Tribolium castaneum: one gene and its partner. The protein of the gene in region 1 purifies or fractionates together with the protein of each later gene. This does not show direct contact. Links are inferred from orthologs where the notes say so. Each region holds a gene or a part of one and is shown in the gene's direction. Other genes may lie near its edges.

Region 1 (4,035 bases):
CCCAGTTATCTACTGCAAAAAGCAAGGTACAGTTGAGAATTTTTTTACAATCCTCGATTTCAATGCGACCTGAAGGAACAGCCAGGAGAGAACCATCAGGTGAAAAATCTAAGCGTCTGAAAAATGACTTGAACGTGTCATCATGAAAATATTTCACTTCTTTGTTGTGAAGATAATGATCTTCCGGCACCGGTAATAGACCCTTGTGCATTCTAGCCTTCACCTGTTTACCGGTATTTTCAAAAATGCGGCAGATGCGGTCGGTACTGATTGTGGCCAAAAACTGACCTCTGGGATCCCACGACACGCCCTTCAAATTTCGAAAAATTACAAACACTATATTTTTATTTAGCAATAATTTACTTGGACAAATCCCTTGTGGTCGGTTAAAATCTGTTCATTTTTGCCTTTCTGAAAATCCCACAAAATGGCAGTGTTGTCTATAGACCCCGATAGAAGTTTTGAGCCATCGGGTGACCAACACAAGTCGTAAATGTCTTCCTTGTGCCCCCGCATTACTTTATGCACTATCCATGTCTCTTTATCGTTCGTTTCTCCTTCCAGTAGAGGGATATTATCGGTTTTAAGTTGCCAAATAATGATATTTGCGTCGTCATCAGCTGTCGCGAGCTGCTGCCCCCCTGGTGACCACCGAACTGAATTCACAGCTCTTTGGTGTCGTGTTAGATCAGACAAAGCCTCGATTTTAACACTACCGTTTTCGTTTATTGTTAATTGCCAAATCTGAAGCACAGCGTCACAAGACTTAATTTTTTTAAACCGAAGCTTACCAAAACATGACAATCGGCACCACCAGTTGCTAACCTATAAAATTTCTCCAAAACGGGTTGAATATGAACACTCAAGACGGGCTCCCGGTTGTGCCATGATATTTCTGGTATCGAACACTTCATTCTACGTTTAGCGGCTTAAATTGTGAAATACGAATAGTAGCAGACACAAACAAGGCGTTTTTTACACAAAACAACAACCCAATAAAAATATTACGACCATTTGGCGCCAATTTACTAGTCTCCTCGTTGGGGATTTTGTTTTTACAAATGTAATTTTTTTGTATAAAAATGAGCAATTCTATTGAATGAATTGAATTAAATTACAAACCTTTTCGTGAACGAATATAAATTAACACAAATTAATAAAAAATTAAGCAAATACTCTATTTAACAATTAAATACTCAAGTAAAGTCTGTAAATTCTAGTAAATTTAGGTTTCTTTCATTTAGATTGCCAGCGCTGTCTGTTAAGTTTGTGAAGGTTAGAGGAGCCGATTCGGTTTAAAAAAAGCGTTTTTTAATGAAAAATAGTCGTGATTTATGTTGGTTACCATTCTGATTCATTATTGAAATTTAGCAAATCTGGATGAGAAAGTAGAAACAATGATTGCTGCCTCAGATCCACAGGTTCGTGGGTGCTCTCACTCAGTCAATATTTTGCGTAAACTTTTCAGGAGTTTGTTCCAAGTGGACGGCAGCAAACATTGAAACACCCAGGCCCCAATGGGGTGCCCCCGCAAAAAAATTTAGGCCAAACTGAGGACCTACTCCTTGATAAATTTGAAAAGGTTTCAATAAAAGAGAAAAAAGACAGTGAATGGTGGATTTTGCGGAAAACCCCCTTGTTTGAGTCTGCGGCAAGTTGGTGCTACGGGACAAAAGACAGTTCTTGTACTAAAGTTAGTGTGAATCAGGACTGTAAAAATGACAAGTCTTACAGCTATCAAAGCTGCGATCATTCACAAAAGACTAGCAAGAGAATATCTGAGAGTTTTTCGAAATTTTCACTCAAGCATGAAAGCTTGGCTCATGGGGGTACGTGGGACCAATTTTTTGCATTTTTATTTTTTTTTTGATTCCCAAGGGCCAAGCTATGAGGGTTCTTTTGCCAAAAGTCACGTCAGTTTTATGGAGGATGAACTCTATGTCAAGGGACACACGGCAGTGTGGTCCCGAGGGCTAAACAATTGTGACAATTTAGACAACGGTAGAAAAACAATTTGTGCTTACACTTCCCTTCTCCCTATAAAACACGCCGCTTGGTGCACTTTCCACTGCGAGCACCCCAGATATGAAACCGACGCTTTTCCTTTTTCTAACAAAGAAGAGGAAACTAAAGGCGTGCCGGTTCCTGCAATTTGCATCATAAATGCCCATAATATTCACGTTTTCACCCAAAAAGGTGAAGATTTCGTCACTGCTATCCCGTTCCAAATTAGCAAAATGTGGAATACGAAGTACGGAATTTTTCTCGAACGGGAAAACGAAGGTTTGCATTTTGCATTTTTTTTCATTTATTAACGCAATCTTTAAAGGCCACAATTCTACAACGTATTTTGAAAACAGAGCTTCGCTCTATTCCTTAGCTTTTCCCTTTGATGAGGTCTGTCCTGTTGCAATAAATGTTGGCACACATATCCAAGTCCTGAATAATAATAGTTTTAAATTGGTTTACACCAGCGAAAATCCAAGCATTTGTATGATTTACGATACTCAAACCAGGCAACACAGTGTTTACGTTATTAGAAAAGTAACAATCAACGAAAAGGTAGAGTTTGCAAACAGGATGAACAGCACTTTCCCTTCAGCCACCAGTTTATCTAACAGGGTAAAAGAGATTAAAAGTCGCACACTTGCGATAATTAATAATTACAGTTGAAAAGTCGTCTTTCAATGTGGGATTGCGGAAAAAACTCGAATTATTTAAGCGTCCCCAGCCCTATCAATAGCCGGCCAGGAAGCGTAGCAAGTTTTTATAACCAAATGCACCACTCGAAATCGCACAGCTCAATGGCCACAATCAGGTTGACCCATTTTTCCAAATTTTATAATACGAACTAATTATAGCAAGTTAATCGGTTTTGTTACTGAATTATACTAAAAGTGTAATTTGGGTCTTTATAGTCGATGCCAGTCACCTGCCACTTCCTCTATCGGAAGTCCGTGGTTGCAGAGAGCTTCGCGTTTGAACACTTCTATTCCAAGTGGGCCCAGTTATTGTGCACCAAACAACTGTTCGTTTTTCGACTGTTCTAAACTGATGTCTTACCTGCACACAAACCCTCTTATTTGTTTGGACCACCTATGGACTGATCCGAATTTGACTCAGTAAAGTTTTTTTTATTTAAAAAATATTCAATGATCAAGTGATTATTGTAGAGATGATAACATGTCGAGTGCCACATCTAAAGTATTTTTGTGCGACGACTTGACACACCAGTGGTACCTTTGCTACATTTTACCAGTGAAGTGCCAGTTGTGTTTAGTCCAAATCGACTTTACAGACCCGAGTAACATTCGCTTTGGAATGGTTAACAGTTTGAGTGTCAAAGACGCAGTGCCTATTCCTGTGAGTATCACACATTGAATTTTTTCCTAATTGTAATTAAGATGTGCCACATGTTGGCCGTCCTGGAACACAACGGCAACGTCAGCCTCTACTCTGGCCTTACCCTAGTGGGGAAGCTGCACATAGGGGGCACCCTCGTCCAGCACACCCCCTCGCCCTACGTCCGTCGCAACCTGGCTCAGTTTAACTCACCTTTCCCGAGGTATTTCCCAATTAAAACCTCCAAACCGCTCAACTTTGCCATTCCAGACGGAGCAGTCTTTTGCCCCATTGCAAACAACTAGACCCCAAGTTTGACGACCATTTGCTATCACCGGTGTTACCCGAGACAACAAACGTGTCTAACATCCTCCAGCTGAACTTCCAGCACGAAAGCAATTTGCCCAAAGCTGTCCTGAACGGTTTACGTGACCCGATCGAAAACCGCATCACTTTACGATACTCTGATGGCACTTACTACAGAATCACTCTGCCCCCCTTGACTGCACACCCACTAATTGAAAATTGTGTAATGGCGTTAAAGCAGTGTCTAAACCGTGACACCATTTCGGTGGTTTTGACCAGATGGTACGCCACTCGGAACGCACCAGGGGCCCAAGACATGAATCTCGAGCAAGAATGGAATGCGTTTGAAACGCTGCTTTTAGGTAATTTGGTTTCGTTCTAAATCGT
Region 2 (8,727 bases), on another chromosome or scaffold:
CACCGAATCTGAGCGTTTTTGCAGTTTTTAGCCGACGAAAATGTCATCGCGACGGCGGCCGGGGATTGCCGAGTGGTGGTCCAGAGCGTGTCGGGGGCCCTCGACAAGAGCGCCCCCTTGCTGGACTGCGCGTGCCACATCGGCCGGGTCAAACGCCTGGCCACGGCCCCCGACCAGCCTACTCTGTTCTGGTCAGCGGGCGAAGATGGCCTAGTTGTGTAAGGCAACTGTTTTGCCCAACCAAACACCTTAACTCACTTGCAGGCAATACGACTTGCGGGAACCCCACGAGTGTCCCACGCAAAGCAAGGTCTTAGTCGACCTAAGCTTCAAATCGGAAATCAAATGCATTGCTGTGAATCCCACAAAATCGCACTATATCGCAATAGGCGCCAACGACTGCTTCGTGCGCTTGTATGACAGGAGGATGATCAAAGTATCAATGGTAAAATAGGTAAAATGTTGGGGAAAAACTTGCATTTTTTGGGTTTTCAGGCGAATTTGTCGTTTAATCCGTCGAAGAGGACGTCCCCGCAGCCCCAAAACAGCGACTGTGTGCAATACTACGCCCCCGGGCACCTGGCACGCGAAAATGCCGGCATTATGAGCATCAAACTATCAGTCACTTATATCGCGTTCAATTCCGCCGGTTCAGAAATGTTGGTAAATATCGGGGGTGAACAGATTTATTTATTTGATGTAAATAATAGCCGACACATTAACGAACTCAAAATCCCCCAAAACTTACCTAAACGGCCCCATCAACCCTACCGGAATTGTTGCCAACCGGTAATTATCCCCCCAGTCACTACTAGGAAAATGCAATTTTTTTTAGAACGTACTGTTGGCTGAACTTAACGGGGTCAGCGCCGACTTGTTTGAGAAAAACACGGACTGTGCCTGCTTTTACATGAGGCGGGCGCTACAGGCGTACCAACGCAAGTGGTATTGAGACAAATAGCCAAAAAAAAAGGCTTGTTAATTTTTTTTTTCTTGTTAGGATGGGCGATTTGTATGCGGCAGCACGTGATTATTTACACGTGATTCAGCATTGGCCGGACCATAAACAGGCTTACATTGGATTAATCAAATGCCTAATTGCCATGAAGTGGGAAGACGAAGCCAACGCTTGGTTGAAACACTTTACAAAACTTTACCCCGAATGTGAAACCTCCTCGCAGGTGAAATTCCTCGTTGAGGAGTTGCAAGCGCTCAAAAACAGCGTCAAGTTTGAGGAGACGGGAGTGAAGAAGGTGGAAGATGATGAGAAAAAGTTACGTTTGGATTCGTTCGATTTTGAGAAGATTTACATAGGGCATTGTAATACCACGACTGATATCAAGGAGGCGAATTTTTTAGGTTGTTTGTGGTGGTTGTAGAGTGTTGGTTTTTTCACGGCGGCTTTCAGGTGATTGTGATAATTATATTTGTGCAGGATCGGACGAAGGGATCATTTTTATCTGGGATAAGAAGAGTATGAATGTGGTTAGGGCTCTCTTTGGAGATAACTCGATAGTTAATTGCATTCAACCACACCCTAGTGCCTGTGTTATAGCGTCCAGCGGGATTGATACGGCCGTTAAAATATGGTCGCCTCGGCCTGAGGTAAGCACAATTGCTGGTCTCACTTTGAAATTAAGTTGGCCACTCTACATTACGGCTTTTTTTTAATTCGATAAAGGTTCCAAAAAAAAGGCTAGTATGATTTTTCGAAAACGGATAACTTAGTCACTTGATCGGAAATTTTTCTCCGAAATATAGTAACTTTTTTCTATTAATTTTATTAATGTTGGAGTTTCCGTTGTCGTTTATTTAGGACGGCAAAGTGAACAACCGAATCGTCAAATGCATCTCCACTGTAGTCGAAACAAATCAGCATCGCATGTCAATGGACCCATTCGAATCAATGTTGGCGAGCATGGGTTACCAGATCGAAGGAAGCGCTTTAGACGGATCGTCCATTCAAGAAGTACCAACGTGCCGAACTAGCTAATTTTTTAACAAAACCATTACAACCAGATTTGTAACTGAAAGTTGCAAACGAATAAATCCACCTCTTGTTTACAATTTAATCGTAAACAACCGAAGGAATCGCTCATTTATTTTGTACTTTCTAGAGGGTGCGTTTTTGTTGTTGATTTTTAAATGATATATACACAATACTGTAAATAGTGTTTATGTTAATAATTTTAAAGATTTTTTAATTATCATGTAAACTGTAAAAATTAAACTGATTTGGGGAAATGACTTAATTAATCAACGGTGTGCACTTTTGGCGATTTGTTCCTTCAAAACTAGAATACTATTACGCTGTTCAGGTGGCAGCATTGCAATCTGCTCATCTGACAATTGCAGGACTTGCATAATCAGGGCCGCCTTTTCCTGGTCTGAGGCCCCAGCTGTACCTATACTTGAAGCAACATTGGCAGCTTGGCGAACTTGGGGGGTACTGGGGGGCCCCTGCGGGGCTCTGACCGGCTGCGGAGGCATCGCGTTTTGCTGAGGGGCTAAAATCAGACTTTCAACAACCAATTCAATTACGTACTTCACACATACGCATATTTTTCTGTCTTGGGTCAGCTCGCTGTTGTTGTCTCGGATCAGATGGGAAGTTGGCCGGACCTCCACGTGGGTCCCTATTAAAGCTAAGAAAAAGTATCAGTAAATTGTATTTCTAATCAATTGTAAATGGTTATTTACCTTTCCAATTTCTGATCCTGCTTAGTGAAACTGTTTAAATTTGAGTAAAAGGGCTCAAGGTTGAATTATTTTACTTACTTTTCGACAAGTGGCGGCGGAAGGGGGTTGGGGAGTTGTCCGGGCAAAGTGCGCATGTCCTGGTCGCCCAGGCGGCTGAGGCGAGGATCAGCCCCTCGGGGGTCCAGTGATCTTAGATCAACGTCTTGACCTGCAATAACGCAAACATTATTATTATTTATAATCAATTGTGATAAAAAAAATCACCTGTGAAGACCGGATTGGAATTATTATGAATCGCGGGGGCTGGCACCGGCTGAAAGTCCTGTCTTGGGGGCTGCACAGGCGTGGGATTCGAGACATAATTACTGTTAATCGGAATGGGGCCTGGATTAGTCTTTTCCTTGGGCGTCAAAGACGAAGGAACGGGATTTTGCGGATGCAACATTGTCTAAAACCCCCCAATAAAATATAAATACGCCCCCAAACCCCCAACTCACAGCCGCCGTATGCGGGTCAATAATCCTCATAACCACCTGCGCCTGCAGCAGAGCGTACGCCAACTGGGGGTTCTGCAGCAGCATCTGCCTGGCCTCAGTGGGGTTGTTCTGAATGCAGAGCTTCATCTGCTTCATCAACTCGAACATCTGCTCGGGGGGCAACGAGGCCACGGCTTTGCTGATGGCCTCGGGGGCCTTCTCGGCCTGAATCGGCTCGCCGTAGGGGTTCTCGACCGGGGGCTGGTTCAGCAAGTTTTGCATCTCCATGCGCGATTTCTCGGTACAGGCGTTGTCGACCCGGAGGTTGCGCCCCCCGATCTCGTACCCGTTGAGGTTGCGCATGGCGCTGAGCGCCGTCTCCTGGTCGCGGTACTCGCAGAAGCCGTAGCCTTTGGGCTTGCCTGTCTCGCGGTCGAAAACCAACCTAAAATTCAGGCGTTAGGGGGCTTCAGGGGGCAGGGCAACGTACTTGAATGACAGGACCTGGCCTACTTCGCCGAAAATGTCTTTGAGCTTCTCTTCGGTGGCTTCGTAGGGGATGTTGCCCACTGGAAGCAATGGGGTTATAATTATCACTTAAAATTTAAATAATTTGTACCAAAGACCGAACGCATTGACTTGTCCATGATATTTGCTTCTAAATTATCCATGGTGATTGTTTAATTCCAACTTGGAACGAAGTAATCAAGACACCTGGGACACCAATTTCAACAAACGGTCAGCGTTACCAACCCTCTACCTTTTAAAAAAGTACAAAATTATGCATTTTAAAGCCAACAATAACAAAAATGTTGGTTTATCTATTGTGGTTACAACCCTAAAGTGAATCGTAACGCCTGACTAGGCCTGTTTGTGCACATTTGGCTAAATAAAGCAAATCGGGTCCAGACGCACAGTTGGTACCCATGACAGAATTAAACGTAACCTTACAATTTGAAAATTGTTTTTTGTTACTAATTGTTGGAAAATGAGCACAGTTCAGGCGATTAAACAGCTCGAAGAGCGCAATGTGGCCAGTGAGATTGTTCAAATGGTGTGGAGCGACCGTATGGACCTTGTCGCTCTTGCCAATATCAAAGGTAACCCCCATTTGCAGTAACCGGCATTTTTGGGTGTCTTTGTAGGAGAGGTGGCTCTTCATCGACTCACTTGGACCAAAGCGTGGAGTCTCAGTGCCCCCAAGGATGGGTTAAAGGTCACAAGTATTGCCTGGAGGCCTGACGGCAAAATCATAGCAATTGCGTACAGTTCTGGTAAAATATTGTAAAAAAAGTATTGGAAATAATTTAAATCCATTGTTTTGTGCAATTTCAGGCCAAATACTGCTTGTGAAGGTCGAGAATAAGTCGGTGTTGCACACTATTGACATCAAGGGCGAAGTTTCATGTCTCAATTGGTTGCAAGACCGGACTGTTAAAGGGAAACTGCCTTCAGTTGACGAAGACAGTAAACAGAATCAGTACATGAAACACATTGTAAAAAAACCCGAATGTTAGTGCTCGTTTAATTTCCCAGTTGTAGGACTTATCGGGTAATTTTTTGCCCGAACCGGTGCTACAACAGTTCGATTCCCCCAACAACGACGATGGTCAGAAAACCAACATTTTGCAAGAGCAAACCGACTTTAATTTGCTCCTGATTGGGACAAGTGAGGGCACCGTGCACGTGCGAGTTTTCGGTTGTTTCCCGTGCGCTTCCCTTGACTTGAAGCAAACTCTCAACTGTCTTTGCTCCATCCAGAACATGCATTTGAACGAGGACCTGAACCGCATGTTTTTCACAGTGCGAGACAACGAAAACAACGTTAAATTGATTTGTTTCGATTCGGAAATTTTCAAAACGCACACAAACGAACTGTTCGCTTTGGCCCTCAAACACATAAAATTGACCTCACTGGTGACCTATCTCTCCAACACTATTACCACCATCACCGAGTCCTGGGAGAGCATTTTGCTGGAGATGGACAACAAGTTGTCGAAATATGCGAGCAAGGTGCCAGAAGGGGGCGTCACGGCTGATTTTTTGGATTTGCTGACGTTTGGAATTTGCTCGGATGAGATGAAGACCTTTCTCATACACGATTTAACGAAGAAAGGGTTGGAGAAGTTCGGGCAGACGATTGAGATGAGTTATTCCAACATTCAGAAGTTGATGCTGAAGTATGTGATGAAGTTTGGGCAGAATGTTACCTATCACTTGGCCGAAATGAGGGGGATGGCAAGACTGGAACACCGCTATAAGGTTGGTACAAGTGTGTGGTGGCTGCCAACTCAACAAAAAAATTAAAATTTAATTTTGTGTGAACTTGGCAAGAAAAACCATCAAAAATGCACAAAAATGGAAAAATCACATTTAGTTCGATAATTTCAAAGTCTGAGAAATAGTTAAAAAACAGGCGTATTTTAGACGAAATTTTACGCAACAAGCTACATTGAGTGAAACAAACAAATATCAATCAGGTTTGCTTTGAAACGAATATAGTGTCTGATTTTTTAAACGAACAAAATACTATCTGGCAAAATAAATAAATATTTAGTTTAAAATCGAGCAAATACTACGTGAAAAAAGTCCAAAATATTCGGGGAAACCCCTGACGGCTTTAAAACGCCTTTTTCGGCTTTTCGCTCCCACGTTTAGGACGCGTTTCAATTGAAAAGAAGTTATTAGTGTAAAAAATGGTGATTGGGTGATTGTAGGTTTTGGGTTTGGACGCGGCCGCCATTACCGGCGCCATTTCCTCGAACGGCGCCTTCTTGATCAAAGGCAGCGAAATGCAGCAAATCATCAATCACTCCATCATCAATTACAAGGCCTTCTTCCGCTGGCTCTACACGGCAATAATGCACGTTCTGGATGAGCCAATACCGAACGAAATCCCCAAAATGACTCAGCAAGACCTGGCTTACATCACCGAATTTTTGCAAAACTTTGACCACATCAGTCGGAATAACAAACAAAAGGGGTTCATTATGGAGCGGTTGGGGCAATATTTAAGCGATGGCAATTTGACGATCCAACCAGACATGTCCGGGAACGAATGGACTGATTTTTTGGCCCAGAACCAATGCATCGAAAAAAATAGTTCCATTTTGAGGCACTTCAAAGAGATGTCGCTGATACAACAGTACAAGCATTTGAAGCAAAGCGTCGATGCGATTTTCGCGACACCTAGAGAGCAAATTAGTAGGCAGTTCAGTCATTTGAATGACTTCAATTGTTTCCAATTTTGCGGCGATTCGTTACGGACGTCCCAAGTCAACTTAAACAAAGAATCGATTCTTTTTTGTTACTTGCAGCCGCCTGAGACCGTTCTAGGCCTGCAGGTGTATCTAGACGATGGCAATTGTTTCATAAAGTGTGCGCGTCTGTACTTCCCCCGTGACAATTCCGAGGATAATTATCACGTGATCGATATTAAACTATATTCGAGTGCAGTATTGTCGGTTTTATTGCAAGAAAACACCGTTTCTAAAGCTACAGTTTTAAGTCAGATACCGATAGGTGGCGTTTTGGACAAGTTTGTGGATGGGGGGGAGACAGATCGTGTTTTTAGTGGTGCGGTTAACGTGGTTAGTTTGAACGGTTCGTGTTTGGTTCCGAAGCTGTTTAAGTGTGTGGAGGGGATGGTGGGGGCGGAGTTTGCAGTGTCGGGGAGTCGACGTGTCGGTATCGTATTGGCGGAAAATCGGAGGAAGGTGCGCTTGTATGAAATGGAGGGGGAGGAAGAGGAGGAGGAAGATGCGGAGATGAACAATAGTGGGGTACAAGAATGACTTTATTTACATTCTAAGGACTAAAGTTTCGTATTCGGGACAAGCGATTTCTTCGCCGCCGTATGCTATGTAGCAGACACCATGGCTGGGGTGTATCTGGAAAATAAATGATCAAGGGTTAAAATTTATAAGGGTGAGTTAAGTACTTTGCCAATTGTTTGGGAGCCTTCGTGGTAGGCGCGGCCTATGTAAAGGGGCTCCCCTTCGCTGGTGTGCCCCCCTTGGACCGCCCCTGGTGGCAAGTGGCCGGCGTGCGATTGTACCCACTCGAAGTATTGTTTACATAAAACCTGAAAATTTTAAAAAATAAATAAATTCGTTTTCCTTATTAATTAACCTTGCAAGGTGGAAGAAAAATTGTTTTCTTTTAGTTTTTGTACAGATACAAAAAATTAAATAACGAGATTATAAAACAAAATATAAAAGGGCTTTATTTTCCCATATTCAACAAAAAAAATTCATAGCTCAAAAACTAAATGTCGTAGAGCAAAACGGTTTGTTCCAATGAACTCAGCGGCTCATTTTCTGAATTATACCAACGTTTAACGAGATCTAAAGTTTTAAAATTTTTTGCTAAAAATTAAGATAGTTGTTTCTTATAGTGGAAAATTTTATTCAACCAAAAAATTTATAACTCGAAAACTAAAAGTCGTAGAGCAAAACCGTTTGTTGCAGTGAATTCTGCTGCTTAAATTGCTTAGAATACTAGCCTTTTCACAACACTAGCTTACTCGAGAAATTTAAAAAAATATATATTTTAATTTTAAAATTGGTGGATGCGCCGGGTTATTTATTAAAAAATTCATAACTCGAAAACTAAAAGTCGAGGAGCAATGCGGTTTGTTCCATTGAATTCAGCGGCTCATTTTCTGTATTATACCAACTTTTCACGAGATCTAAAATTTTCAATTTTTTTGCTAAAATTACCTTCAAAGTGGTGAAAAAAAATTTTTTTTAAACTCACTCCAGTAAATTTTTATGGACTTTTACATGTCTTAACAACCCACAAAAGTTGTTAAAAGTCCACAAAAAGTCCATATGTTCGATTTTTTGATGTTTGATTTTTTCAATTTTCGTCGCAAATTTTGTCGATTTTCGGTACCCGGAACTTTTGTCAAGCAATAGCTCCGGAACTTTTAGAGATAACCCTACGAAGTGTATTATCGTTGGAAAGCTCTTTATATTATCTATTTTTTTCAAAAAAAATTATTGTTCTCCGACTAATAGTTTTCGAGCAAATTGGAGATAAATGCAAAAATTAGTAAAATTTTAAAAAATTCATAACTAAAAAACTATTGGGAATTTGGCAATTTTCTCGATGCCAATCGATTCCCCGGATCATTTTGTATAGGTATGGAACAAAATAGTTCCACTTTCTGGAATAGTTTAGCCGTGAATGAGAATTTTTGCTAAAATTTTCTGAGTAATAATAATACACTTTCTTCCAAAAACGTGAAAAAAATATTTTTTTTACAAACCCATTCTAGCATAGTTTTATGGACTTTTCTATGCCTTTACATCCCTCTGGAGTTGTTAAAAGTCCAAAAAAAGTCCATATGTTCGAAAAAAAAATCTCAAGAATATGCATATGCATATAATGGCCGAAAAATAGAACTGTTGCCTGTGACATTTAGTCACAATATTTGTCACTTTTGCGGATAAAAATGCTTGTTTTACTTTAAAAAAAAGTTACAAGGGGATAAATATCAAATAGAAACACCCAGTATATTACTTGGAAATTTTCAACGAGGTGTTCC

What was found. Proteins that work in one complex are often made in the same cells at the same time.
Region 2: the proteins of shtd (region 1) and APC4 purify together in Homo sapiens (co-purification; 13 studies listed by BioGRID and IntAct, with this or other methods). This does not show direct contact. The link is inferred for Tribolium castaneum from reciprocal best matches to the Homo sapiens genes ANAPC1 and ANAPC4.

Annotation. Positions count from the first base shown.
Region 1 is NC_087397.1:4,714,695-4,718,729, reverse strand, and holds the start of shtd (anaphase-promoting complex subunit 1), read left to right. Parts: upstream 1-1,235; 5' UTR 1,236-1,397; coding exon 1,398-1,421; intron 1,422-1,468; coding exon 1,469-1,829; intron 1,830-1,878; coding exon 1,879-2,283; intron 2,284-2,329; coding exon 2,330-2,622; intron 2,623-2,669; coding exon 2,670-2,818; intron 2,819-2,918; coding exon 2,919-3,122; intron 3,123-3,173; coding exon 3,174-3,363; intron 3,364-3,404; coding exon 3,405-3,565; intron 3,566-3,612; coding exon 3,613-4,010; intron 4,011-4,035. Other genes in the region: Caf1-105 (chromatin assembly factor 1 subunit B), read right to left, coding at 1-310, 364-744, 792-914. UniProt on the Homo sapiens protein: Component of the anaphase promoting complex/cyclosome (APC/C), a cell cycle-regulated E3 ubiquitin ligase that controls progression through mitosis and the G1 phase of the cell cycle.
Region 2 is NC_087400.1:319,212-327,938, forward strand, and holds APC4 (anaphase-promoting complex subunit 4), read left to right. Parts: upstream 1-4,058; 5' UTR 4,059-4,164; coding exon 4,165-4,276; intron 4,277-4,321; coding exon 4,322-4,450; intron 4,451-4,511; coding exon 4,512-4,672; intron 4,673-4,718; coding exon 4,719-5,438; intron 5,439-5,893; coding exon 5,894-6,970; 3' UTR 6,971-6,976; coding exon of another isoform or gene 6,977-7,066; 3' UTR 7,067-7,116; coding exon of another isoform or gene 7,117-7,260; 3' UTR 7,261-7,327; downstream 7,328-8,727. Other genes in the region: WD and tetratricopeptide repeats protein 1, read left to right, coding at 25-218, 265-445, 496-789, 836-945, 1,001-1,359, 1,409-1,605, 1,817-1,993; CstF64 (cleavage stimulation factor subunit 2 tau variant), read right to left, coding at 2,257-2,507, 2,557-2,645, 2,701-2,730, 2,779-2,908, 2,965-3,148, 3,198-3,621, 3,667-3,745, 3,796-3,847; uncharacterized protein LOC659212, read right to left, coding at 6,977-7,066, 7,117-7,260, 8,703-8,727. UniProt on the Homo sapiens protein: Component of the anaphase promoting complex/cyclosome (APC/C), a cell cycle-regulated E3 ubiquitin ligase that controls progression through mitosis and the G1 phase of the cell cycle.